Daphnia pulex: one gene and its partner. The protein of the gene in region 1 interacts with the protein of each later gene in a biochemical or structural test. Links are inferred from orthologs where the notes say so. Each region holds a gene or a part of one and is shown on either strand. Other genes may lie near its edges.

What was found.
Region 2: the proteins of DNA polymerase iota-like (region 1) and DNA polymerase eta-like interact in far-western blotting, tested with the Homo sapiens proteins (2 studies listed by BioGRID). The link is inferred for Daphnia pulex from reciprocal best matches to the Homo sapiens genes POLI and POLH.

The regions. Positions count from the first base shown.
Region 1 is NC_060019.1:7,784,405-7,791,321, reverse strand, and holds DNA polymerase iota-like, read left to right. Parts: upstream 1-1,146; 5' UTR 1,147-1,220; coding exon 1,221-2,804; 3' UTR 2,805-2,842; downstream 2,843-6,917. UniProt on the Homo sapiens protein: Error-prone DNA polymerase specifically involved in DNA repair. Plays an important role in translesion synthesis, where the normal high-fidelity DNA polymerases cannot proceed and DNA synthesis stalls. Favors Hoogsteen base-pairing in the active site.
Region 2 is NC_060027.1:5,021,948-5,027,715, forward strand, and holds part of DNA polymerase eta-like, read right to left. Parts: coding exon 5,528-5,768; intron 5,464-5,527; coding exon 5,333-5,463; intron 5,259-5,332; coding exon 5,184-5,258; intron 5,124-5,183; coding exon 4,950-5,123; intron 4,883-4,949; coding exon 4,681-4,882; intron 4,619-4,680; coding exon 4,429-4,618; intron 4,353-4,428; coding exon 3,306-4,352; 3' UTR 2,689-3,305; intron 2,229-2,688; 3' UTR 1,997-2,228; intron 1,925-1,996; 3' UTR 1,844-1,924; intron 1,779-1,843; 3' UTR 1,694-1,778; intron 1,630-1,693; 3' UTR 1,532-1,629; intron 1,464-1,531; exon of another isoform or gene 1,461-1,463; 3' UTR 1,381-1,460; intron 1,353-1,380; exon of another isoform or gene 1,293-1,352; 3' UTR 1,200-1,292; exon of another isoform or gene 1,148-1,199; 3' UTR 1,050-1,147; intron 982-1,049; exon of another isoform or gene 979-981; 3' UTR 899-978; intron 871-898; exon of another isoform or gene 810-870; 3' UTR 717-809; exon of another isoform or gene 665-716; 3' UTR 567-664; intron 499-566; exon of another isoform or gene 496-498; and 9 more. UniProt on the Homo sapiens protein: DNA polymerase specifically involved in the DNA repair by translesion synthesis (TLS). Due to low processivity on both damaged and normal DNA, cooperates with the heterotetrameric (REV3L, REV7, POLD2 and POLD3) POLZ complex for complete bypass of DNA lesions.

The DNA of each region.
Region 1 (6,917 bases):
TTTATCTCTTAGAGTAAGGAAGTAGCATGAAAGCTATAGATACCAGATAATACTGCCTTAGTGTGTGAATGACAAGGTTGCTTGACACTCTTGTGATGAATTTTATGTTTTTGTAATCATTTGACAAGGCCTTACAGTGGAAACTAATTTCTGACTTTTCCTATATTGAACATTTCACTTTTTAAATCTGTTTAAATAGAAGAAACAATTAACTTTTCTGTGCATTGCACATCTCTTGACAGCAAAGAGGACTGTAGTGTAAGAGAATATTTTGTTGTTTCATTAGTGCTTTTTAATGCTTATGGGGATTCCAAAGCTGTGTACATTACATTGTCTTGTCTTGCAGGTCTGACAAACTTCTTTTAATGGAAGTGTGTTAAGAAATGGAACTATCAAATCTCACTAACAATTTTAGCTGTCCTCAAAACACTTTCAGATTTTGAGGAATGTGTATTTTGAGGAAAATGCAATCAGTCAATACAAAGTGGAAAAGAGTATCATGTTTTAGTCTAGTTTGAATCCTTTTTTTATGAGGTCAGCTTTGGCATCAACTATCTCTTGTTTTAGCTCTTTGGCAGCCTCCTCGCAGTCATTAAATGTGTAGACTCTCCAAGCAATTATTGAAACAGAAATCACCTGCAATAATGAGGGAAAAAATTGCTATAGATAATACGCACCATATCATATAAAAACAAAACTTACTGCGAATGCGAGTAATACGTAAAATGGTAGGAACAGAACGAAATGCCGGGCAAAGTCGCTAGAGTTTCCAACTGGTGTACTGATAAAGAGGTAAGCCCAAACACCAGCAAACAAGCCTGCACCACCCAACCATTCAACCAATTTTGTCATAGTGAATAATTGACAGAATGACAACAAGGAGAAAAAACGAATGACAGAAAGAAAAGAATTTGCTGGCGTGTCATGTAAAAATCAAATGTCATGAATTTCTGCATAGTTGCCTGAAATACTTGATCATTTTCATATGGTTATCTTTATTATTTCGTGATATTTTAAAACAACACTAATTCATTTTTTAAGTTTTCTTCATTTCAATCAGAAAATAATCAATTAGCTTATGAAATATTTTGAAATAATGAATTTTCATTTTCTTTGCGCTTCGGGCTCATAGTAACAAAGCAGACGACACTACAGTGCTGTCATTTGCCGGTAGTTGAATTGTTATTGTTTGTTTAAACTTTTTCCTTACTCTTTCCGAAATGGAGGAAGAAGATTTAGGTGACGATTTCTCGTACAATAGTGTTGCCATTCAGTCAAGTGAAAAACATGAACGCGTTATCATCCATATAGATATCGACTGTTTTTATGCCCAAGTTGAAATGATTCTAAATCCATCTTTATGTGGCAAACCACTTGGTATCAAACAGAAAAATATTGTTGTAACCTGTAACTATGAAGCAAGAGCGCTGGGTGTTGAGAAACTTATGTCAATAAAGACCGCACTAGAAAAGTGCCCTTCCTTAGTACTTGCAAATGGAGAGGACTTGAAAAAGTATAGAGACATGTCAGAGAAGATTTATCAAATTCTTCAATCGTTCAGCCCATTTGTGGAGAAACTTGGCTTGGATGAAAATTTTATTGACATTTCCCACAAAATCAACAAGTCCCCTGAAATTAAACCAGAAGTTTCTGGACACATTTTCGAAGAAAAGAACAGTGATGAAACTTGTGCATGTGGTTGTACAGACAGACTAAAAGAAGGTTCTATTATTGCTCAGGAAATGCGAAATCAACTAAAAAGTGAACTTGGAATCACCTCCTGTGCTGGAATTGCTTGTAACAAGCTTCTAGCTAAATTGGTTGGAGCAACCCATAAACCAAATCAGCAAACCACCTTGTTCTCAGCATCATCTTTAAACTTGATGAAATCATTGAAGCATCCTAGAAATATTCCTGGAATTGGTTCAGCAATGAACAGAAAACTAGAGGTTCTTGGTATTGACACCATAGAAAAACTTCAAGCAGCAGATTTGTTTAAGCTTATTGAAGCACTTGGAGTCAAAACAGCTAACCAAATTCAACAACTGAGTTTTGGGATCGACGATAGTCGTGTCAAAATAACCGACAGACCGAAATCTATTGGAGCCGAAGATGGATTTCCTACAATCAAAAGTGAAACTGAAGTGCGCAAGAAGCTCAAGTGCCTGCTAGATCGAGTTTGGGAGTTAGTGGAGAAGGATGGCCGTAGACCAAGTCAAGTTAAATTGACAGTTCGGAAATTACATGCGACCAATCACAGTGTCAGAGAGGCCCGCCAGACTGCAATAGATCTTACGACTGGAGTTCCTAGCAACGCGCCATTAGGACCGTTAAGTGAAAATCAAGAAAAAAAAGTCATCACGACTCTAATGAATCTCTTCGAAAAGGTAGTAAATTGCGATGAATCGTGGCAAGTTACATTGTTGGGTATTTCGTTCTCTGGTTTTCCCTCTGGCATCGAAAGCCCAGCGAAAAATTCCATCAACAAATATTTTACTAGTTCATCGCGACCGAACGAAACTTTGCCACCTCCAACTAAGCGTGGACGCTTTGACGAATCTGTCCTCCAAGAATTACCTGATGACATCCGTCAAGAAGTTTTAGAAGATATGAAGTGTCAAATACCATCATCAAGCACCTCCCAACAGTCAGCAGATTTTGATTGTCCAAAAGGTGTCGATCCTCAAGTTTTTCGCGAGCTCCCGGTGGAGATCCAGAAGGAACTGCTGGCTGGGGAGAAAAATAAGAAGCCAATCGCAACCAAAAAACCTAATAACTTATTACAGTACTTCCGTAAAGTGTAAAAATGTGTTCTGTAGTAGCTATAAATGATCAACAAAGACATGTTATTTCATGGATGGGATATAATTTTAGCCACTTCCTTATCTTTCGAGACCAAAACACCTTTTCGGCCATCTTGTCTAGTAATTAGCAACAACCAACGTTAAGGTAAGTGAGGCGTTTTGTTTCCGTTTTGTTGTTGTTGTTTTTTTCTAGAATACTTACTATCCTGGCATTTTTAGTTTTTTTTTAAAGATTTTGAAATTTGAGGTTTGGCCACACAGAATGCTGAACGACCAATTTTAGAAATCTTATATTATATAAATATTCATCGAGTTTGCCGATTGTTGTTTAGTTTACATGTATATGTATGAAAAAATGAAATTGTCATTCTAGTTGCATGTCACCGTCGACGGTTTCCAGGACATGTATGGTGACGGTTTACATCATACAACTTATCCTTTTCTGGAACTCTATTACTGAACAAAAGTAAATAACCAACAATTTCTAATGTAAATTTGCTTTCTTGCTTTCACTTCATACGAGACGTGTGCAAACTAGCAGACCCTAACATTTCACATACCGCTAAATGTTATTCGATGTTATTGACTGAAACTTTTTTTTAATTTTGCTGCATAAGAACTGTATTGGCGTTTTCAAGGATTACTTCCGAAAACATCGTCAACTACATTTTAAAACAATATAAATTTGGTACGAAAACTTACGCTTGTATGTTTGGGAACACAGCTTATTTTCATAATTTTTGCTAATTTATCTCTAGCGTGGTAATTATCGGTAATTATTGAACGTCGAATTCAAAAAGAACCTGATTTTTGTTATCCTCATTAAATTTACGTTCGATTTCATGTGCACACTGAAAATCGTCCAAAATCGAGATTTTCTCTGAACTAAACTGAACGATTAGGAATACAAATACCCTCCGGGAGGAGAGCCAGAGCCCAGAGGAAGGCTTTCAACCACTGCTGGAGTTTATTAGCGACATCACCAATGTTTCACGTTTTATTTTTCATAATAGCTGCCTGACCAGGGGAGGAAGACTCGCGGTAAGTTTAAATCTAAAATTAATTACACGGCATGTCGATACCGAAAAGATCGCAACTTGGTCCCGGATGGCGGCCAGTACGTTCCCTACCACAAAATTTTACTTTTGTTTGACTTATTACGTTTGATTGTTTATGTGATATTAATTTTTAAAAATGGTTGTTTGCCATAGAATCGAACTAAGTCCCCTTTTTCAGAAAATTTTAAAGGGGTGTTAGTTCATAACTGACATCCAAACTCCAAAGTCGAAAAAATTCTATTTTTGGATTATCCAGTTGCAATCATTAGTAGGTAAAAACTAATGCTTGGTACTATTTAAAAAATAATTTTGTTTGACCTTGGTTATCAGTTTTCTCGTGTGCTAAAACCACTTCAAAATGTTCTGTAAAAGTGGATTTAGTTCGATTTTTCGGCAACCCACTATTTTTCAAATTAATACCTCAAACTAAAAAACGTAGAGAATCGCGATTTGCTCCAGTAGACTAGACGCAAAATTTTACATGAGTTATGAATTAGTGTAATAATTTTTAACGCGTCACCTGCACCCGACGTCTAATTGCGTCTAATGGCGGAAGGCCTAGCTTTCTGTCTACCACGCTTAGCGTAGATGATTTGTTTGAATAGAGCCAATTCATCAATCTACGCAAATGCCTCTGTAAACAAACAACAAACCATTAACGACCTATTGCGCGCCTGTGACGTTGCGCAGAATAGTGAACAATATTTAACGACAGCTATTGCCCGAATTGAGCATATAAATTCATAGGTGGCACAAGTAGAAAACGAATTCATAAAAAAAATTTAGCGATCAATCATTAAAATGTTCTTTAACTTTAGCGATCAAAAAGTGATCGCTAAAAAAAAATTGTTCGTGAAAAAATTGTTCCCAGGGCGTGTATGTCATAGTCATATACTCCGGAGACCGGAGTGCGATAGCGTCTTTGGACACTAGAGCGCACTGCATGATATGGCACGTCGAATCCATCACAAAAAAAAGTAAAAAAAAAAAAGTTTCGTCGCAACGCCAACTAGCGGTGAAATATGGAACTACATACAAAATTCCCTTTTCTTGCCCCAAAACGCGAAATTTTGATTTTCTTCGCTTCTTTGTCACTCAGAACGTGAAAGGTTAAATCTATTGCCACGAAATCCGAGAAATCAGACCATTCAAACTAAAAAAAAAACAGCTTGTAACCTAGGTTAATGATTTCATCTGAGTCAACAGTCAACGTTAAGCCATGAAGAAGGTTAAGCTAGCTTTGAAAATTACCAATGAATTCATAGGTAAACTCGAGTGATTTCGTCTGTAACTTGTCGGTGATGTGTTCTATTCCGTGTATATGTTGGATAACTTTAATGGTTTTCATCTACTCACAGTCAGAGTAAACGTGAAAGTCGTGCAACCTACCGTCAACTATTTTGTTCAAACTCATTGTATTCTACTGAATGTGTCATCGAAATGATACAGGTAAAAACCAACACTAGCTTTATTTAATGCTAAAACATATATTCTTCTCATGTTTTATTAGGATTAATCTTAATTATCGGCTGTTTCTGTTGAACTTGCTAGATCACCGACTCCAGCATGGACCAATCTCTCATTCCATCTTCTAGAGAATCTTGGATTTTTGGATAACTGATTGGTGGTTTCATGTATAAGTTCACTTGTCATGTTACTGAACTTTATTAATTACAGTCTAACATGAATTTTTGTTTTATTTACAGGTTTCTAAATTGGCATGACTGACTTTATGAGAAGTTATGTCTTTCCAAGAAAAAGGACTTACAGTCAACAAGATTCCTTGTTTGCTAACCTGTTGGCTGCTACCCTTGAATCTCCCTATTTTTAGACAACAAAAAAAAGAGGTTAAATATTGTGATCATGCTATCATCATTGTAAGTTGTGTTTACATTGAATTTAGAGAAGTTGTCATACTAATAGCAATTTTGACGATTGTTTGGTTTCTTATTTAGATGTTGCCTATAAGATCAAATGTGGGGTATCTGGTTATCCCTCCAAAATAAGGCAATGACCACACGTTCAACGCGGATCATTCGTTTTGTCATCGAACTTGACTCATTCCATCTTCTGGATTGCTTAGGAAAGCTGATTGTTGTTACCTGTGTAACTTCATTGTCATGTCACTGAATTAAAATTTTGTTTACATTTTGTTTCTTGATTTACCCATTTAGATAATGACCGAGAAGATGCGGCCTACATGAACATCATTTAGGTTAGGCGGCCAGCATCATTCGACTACCCAACCGGCTTCTACTACCCTACTCTCACACTCAACACAGCACGGAGTTTTACCCTTTAGATTTTTGGCTGTTCGCGATGTGTGATGGCGTTTCCTTGGACGAGATGATGATTTTGGCGAGAAAAATATTGCGTGAGTATATACTTAACTGTTTAATTATTCTTTTACTTATTTTTTAAATGTTTTTTTTTTTTTCATTTACAGGTTCTAACCTTCAGGTTCATAAATTTGCATGACAGACTTTATGAAAAGTAATGTTCTTTCAATGAAGTCAACAAGGTCCCTTGTTTGCTAACTCAATGGCTGCTACCCTTGAATCTCCCTATTTAGCTCCTTACACAGTCCCTCTTGATTTGAGGTATTGCTATTTGTCGCTACAATCTTATTGAAAATTATTGTCATCCGAATCAATGTTCATTCTGCTTACAGGGTAATCCTTCGCTACTAATCATGGACTCCATTGGTGAAACTGAAAACCCACGAGAGAATGCTGTAATCCAAGACTGATGAATTGTGTAGTTAGATTAAATTACAAGTGCATTTCTGGGCTCCCTTCTTTTCTGTGGTCCCGTTTCCCTAACTAACCACTAACCAACGTCCGCCGTTGGTCACTCACCCGCTGTGAAACCAGGAGGAGGGGAGGGCTCTGGTCGAACGGGGACTTGGAAGGCATATGATCCGACGAAAACTTTTAAAGGGTCATGAGTCTAACCCGGAAGCCTAGTATGACTAATCGCTCCCCAGTAAAACTTGCCTCGCACTCTTCTCTCTTCTTCCATTTCCAGGTAATCTCCCTGGATCTACGCCGACACT
Region 2 (5,768 bases), on another chromosome or scaffold:
ACCATATGCCCTAGTAAGTATAAATATTGATTTAATAAATGGATATTTAAAAATATATATAATTAATGCTTTAATACTTACAGAGGCAGAGTTATTGGAGGACTCCCTTTCTGATCATGACTATCCAGACTCAGATAGTCCATTTCTCACAATTCCAAAAAAAAAAAAGAAGAATGGCCTAATACAATACAATATACAATACAATATGTTAATACTTTTTTAGTGAATAATACATAATTCCGGTGAGCAGACGACGTCAGACTCTGTTGAAATTGAATCAAACAGTTTTCAGACTTTCAGTCTTTCCAAATTCTAAATTTATCTAACTGAAAAAGAAACAGACATCAAAAACATTGAAATGTTCAAGTATAGTTATCTGTGTGACTTGTAAGTTATATTTATGAAAAAACATTACCTTGGGGCAGAATCCTTTACTTAACAAGCAAAATTTAACTTTCAGGTTTGGTGAAAAACATCCAGCCTTGACCATATGCCCTAGTAAGTATAAATATTGATTTAATAAATGGTTATTTAAAAAAATATATAATTAATGCTTTAATACTTACAGAGGCAGAGTTATTGGAGGACTCCCTTTCTGATCATGACTATCCAGACTCAGATAGTCCATTTCTCACAATTCCACGAAACAAGAAATAAGAATGGCCTAATACAATACAATATACAATACAATATGTTAATACTTTAGTGAATAATACATAATTCCGGTGAGCAGACGACGTCAGACTCTGTTGAAATTGAATCAAACAGTTTTCAGACTTTCAGTCTTTCCAAATTCTAAATTTATCTAACTGAAAAAAAAACAGACATCAAAAACATTGAAATGTTCAAGTATAGTTATCTGTGTGACTTGTAAGTTATATTTATGAAAAAACATTACCTTGGGGCAGAATCCTTTACTTAACAAGCAAAATTTAACTTTCAGGTTTGGTGAAAAACATCCAGCCTTGACCATATGCCCTAGTAAGTATAAATATTGATTTAATAAATGGTTATTTAAAAATATATATAATTAATGCTTTAATACTTACAGAGGCAGAGTTATTGGAGGACTCCCTTTCTGATCATGACTATCCAGACTCAGATAGTCCATTTCTCACAATTCCACGAAACAAGAAATAAGAATGGCCTAATACAATACAATATACAATACAATATGTTAATACTTTAGTGAATAATACATAATTCCGGTGAGCAGACGACGTCAGACTCTGTTGAAATTGAATCAAACAGTTTTCAGACTTTCAGTCTTTCCAAATTCTAAATTTATCTAACTGAAAAAAAACAGACATCAAAAACATTGAAATGTTCAAGTATAGTTATCTGTGTGACTTGTAAGTTATATTTATGAAAAAACATTACCTTGGGGCAGAATCCTTTACTTAACAAGCAAAATTTAACTTTCAGGTTTGGTGAAAAACATCCAGCCTTGACCATATGCCCTAGTAAGTATAAATATTGATTTAATAAATGGTTATTTAAAAATATATATAATTAATGCTTTAATACTTACAGAGGCAGAGTTATTGGAGGACTCCCTTTCTGATCATGACTATCCAGACTCAGATAGTCCATTTCTCACAATTCCAAAAAAAAAAAAATAAGAATGGCCTAATACAATACAATATACAATACAATATGTTAATACTTTAGTGAAAAATACATAATTCCTTACCTAAAATTTAAAGAAGACATATTGTTTGATTGTTTTACTGACTACGATCCTGAAGACCAAGAACTAGAAGTGGAGGATGAGGAGCCTTGGTTCACGTAAAAATAAACCGTAATTAAACTTGTACTTTCAATAAATAAAACTAATTAATACCTTATTTTTAATTGTAGCTGAAATCATACTGTCAGCTAATGAGAGAAAAAAGGACGACAGCAATTCTGGTAAGTAAAATGCCTATGTGAAAAAAACAAACAAACATTAATAATTAAATTAAAACGAAAAAATAAAATGTATATATTAACTTACAGATGAAAACGAAACTGATGTAGATGATGTCGTTTTACCTACACCCAAAAGGAAGAGAAACGTCCAACCTAAGAAAGATAGGAAGAGGGCTGCAAAAGCTGTGAAAAGGGCCAAAAACGAAGAGGCAAACGAGGCTCCAAGCCACGCAGAAGAGCAGACTTCCACATCTTATTCTAAAGAAATGTCGAAGTTATCGAAGCTCTTCAATGATCATTTCTCCTGCTCTGAATAACTATTCAAAAGATTGCACGATAGTTTGTACAAAATTGTAAAAACAAGTTCAAATATTTCCACATGTCCCAAGTGATTTTATGTGAATACAAGTGAAATTCTCTCATAATAGACTAATTTAAAAAGAAAATGAGCTGAACTGAACACTACATTCATATTAGAATGATGGATCCTCATTCTGAGCAAAAGCAAGAGTCTTTCAAAGCGATCAATCTGTGTTTGCCTCTGTGTTAGCCCTCACAACAGTGTTGCGCGATTTGTTTAATTCAATCGTGCAACACTGTAGACTAGTGGGGGCTTTATTCATAGGGAAAAGGGTGTCACATAAAACTTTTTTTTCCTACACCCGAATTTGTAAGCAAAATTAAGTAAACATTCAAGGGACATGGGGAAGGGCGAAGGGCTATATAAAATTACAGTATAAAATCTAAAAATCCATATGAATTATGAATTACATGTACCCGAAAATGCGTGTGTGAAGCACGTAATCGGTAGGGAAAAGGAAAATGAGTGATATCCACTGGATACCGTACCACCTGACCTCTACCGGCATGCAGAAGCATCGCCTGTGGAGGGTTATAGGGGAGTTCAGTCTTTCCTTTGTAGTCTATGGTTTCGCAATGCCGTAAAAAAATTCCAATTGAAATGCCAATTTGCTTAGCACTTACCGGAATACTAAATTTCGTAAGATGTATCCTTTTTCCTTTGCAAAGGAAGTCGGGTATTCGGACCGATTGGATTTCATACATTCATTTAAACGAAAGGTGTCCTCCTTACCTATAAACCAAGAAGTGCCAGGCGGATACAGCAAGCATCATTATTTGTGATCAATCGTTTTTTACCAAGAACCGAGGAAAAACACTTGCAAATATTACAAATTCATCAATATTTTTATTTGAATAAAAATTGGAAACAATTCTGTCAATATTCAATAATATCCTCCCCCCTCCCGGTTGGTTCACACAAAATTACATTTAAAAAAAAACAATATTTTTACTACAATCGCCAGAATATTGCTAATCATTTTGACGGGTTTTTAGTACATGTTGGTTGATAAATTGAACTTACATTTTTTTTACTACGGCCGGCTTCCAAAAAACGAATCTATCGTCCTTGAGCGCTTGCTATCCTTGGCTGCCTTCTTCTGGTTCTTCAACGGCCTCTTCGACGATTTTTTCTCGGCTGTCTGGACTTTCGAATTGTTGGCCAATGAAGAAGTAGAAGGCTGGGCAGAAAATTCCTTTTGCAATTCGGACGCCAAATGGAAATCTTTGTGTTCTTCGATTTCTTCTCGGAGAAATTGTTGTTTGCACTTGTCACATACAACGAATTTATCATTTCCATAACTACCTTTCCTAGCCTCGATTGCTTGTAAAACTTGGCGCTGTAGATGAAGCGGGAGTAGAGCTAGGGTATCCATATCAACTTGATTTAAATCTGGAAATAGTTCTTCAACGGAGAATGACTCTTGAAGACCCACCATTTTCAGGGCTGCTGGTTCAGGAACAGATTCTTTAGCTGATTGTATTGGAGTGTTTTTGTCAAGGCAACGAGAAGCAAAAAACCCAGTTTTTTTCACTATTCCACAGTTATCTTGATTGGAAATAGGCATTGAACTCATTTCTCTATGGACTGATACAGGCTCTGCTTCAGTGCACTCTGAAGCAGAGTCGGCTGTATTTGGTTCTGGTGCCGTAATACTTTCTTCTTCAATATCCAAGATTCTTTCAGTTTCTACAAATTCATTTTCTTCATCCTCCTGATCAGTACTGTTTTCGTTTAGATCATCGTTTTCATGCAATGCTTCCTGTTCTGCATAGGGTTCTTTTTCCTTGTTGGTTTCAGCACTATTTTTAGTGACAAAAAAGCGATCGATCCTGGAATTATTTTCCAGTTGATCAACAAACTTGCTAGCTGAAACTCCAAGGCAGGTAACAACCACTGGAACTCTAGTGTTGCCTTGTTTGAAACAAGGATTTTCTTTACTAATAACTGCCAAGCAAGCGTTCGCCATGTGCATTTTTTCGTATGAAGAAGTCAGAGGAATTGAACGAGTATAAGAGTACGGTCGTATATCGCCTTCTAATCGAACCGTCAGAGTTAATAGTTTTGCCGTTCTATTATTCTAAAAAAATAAATTTTCAAGGGAAAATATGTTATGCCAACACACGAAAAAGAGGTACAAGAGTGATGGGATTTACCGTTTCCCGGTCTTTCTCGAGTCGCTCAGAAACTTCAGCACATAACTCTTCTAGCCAATGGCTTATTTTCTCCCGAGAATCTAGTGCAGCTAAACCAGTGAAATTTTTATTACAGCCTATGGACTTGGGCAGTCTGCGGGAGCTGACCGACTCATGATCCACTCCTCGGGCGTACCAGTAAAGCCACGTGCTGAAAGACAAAGATTTCAATAAATATGAGAGGCATTTAAAGATGAAAGCGAGAAAACTTACCCCGTCTTACTATCAAAACGTTCCTGCAAGACCCGCTCGGGAATTTTTACGATATCTGCCATAGTAGTACAATGGAACTCTTCTCGTAGAACAAGACCAAGTTTACCACCAAGATTTCTAACTTTCTTTAAAGGGAACGTCGTAAAAAATTCCTCAACGGAACGAAAAGGCAAAACGGTTTGCTTGTTGGGCTTGTTGATGCCTATAGGAAAAAAAAAAGTCATTTTGAAGGCTCATAATAAAAAAAAAGAAAAGAAATAAGAGCATACCACAAGCTAGTTTCGCCAACATTTTATTGTTGGAAATCCCAGCAGAACAACGAAATCCGGTTTTTTCATAAACAGCAGCGCGCATCTTTTCAACCAAAATAGCACCATATGTTAATTTCCAGTCATTATCGTTGCAATTTCCTTCCGATAACGCTTGTAACCACCCGTGTACACCTACGAATTTATAGGAAATATTGTAGTAATAGAACTAGAGCATGTAAAATAATGACCGACCTTTTACATCATCTGTGTCGTTCCCCCATCCAACAAAGTAAGTGTTTGGAAGCTCTTCAAGATCGATCGCAGTGGCTATATTAGTAAAAGTAGGACATTGACAAAGTGAATGACGAATTTCATCAAGCTGAATTTTACTTTCAACCAACCTGTGGAATCTGAAAGCATTTTATCTATAACCGCGGTCATGTCTATGTATGCTTCATCAATACTGGCGCGCTCTACGACGACACCAAAGCTGCACATCACATCAATGACTTCTTTTCCTCCATCCCTGTACCTAGAATTGCAAATTATGAAAATTATATATATCTTTTTTGATAAATTTAGAAAAATACTTTTACCTTGTGAGATCAGCTTTTCCTCGCTGTTCAGGTACTCTGTAAAGAATGCAATCTGGACATTTTTCCCTGGCTTCATCTCCTCTCATCTGCTTAGTTACTCCTTGCGCTCTAGCTTCATAATTTACAGAAATAATACCACCCCCTTTCCATTTTTTATACTGCACCACACAGGCAGGTTTTCCTTTGTTGCCAGGATTTTCTCTCTCTTCCACTTGAACATAAAAACAGTCCATGTCAATCA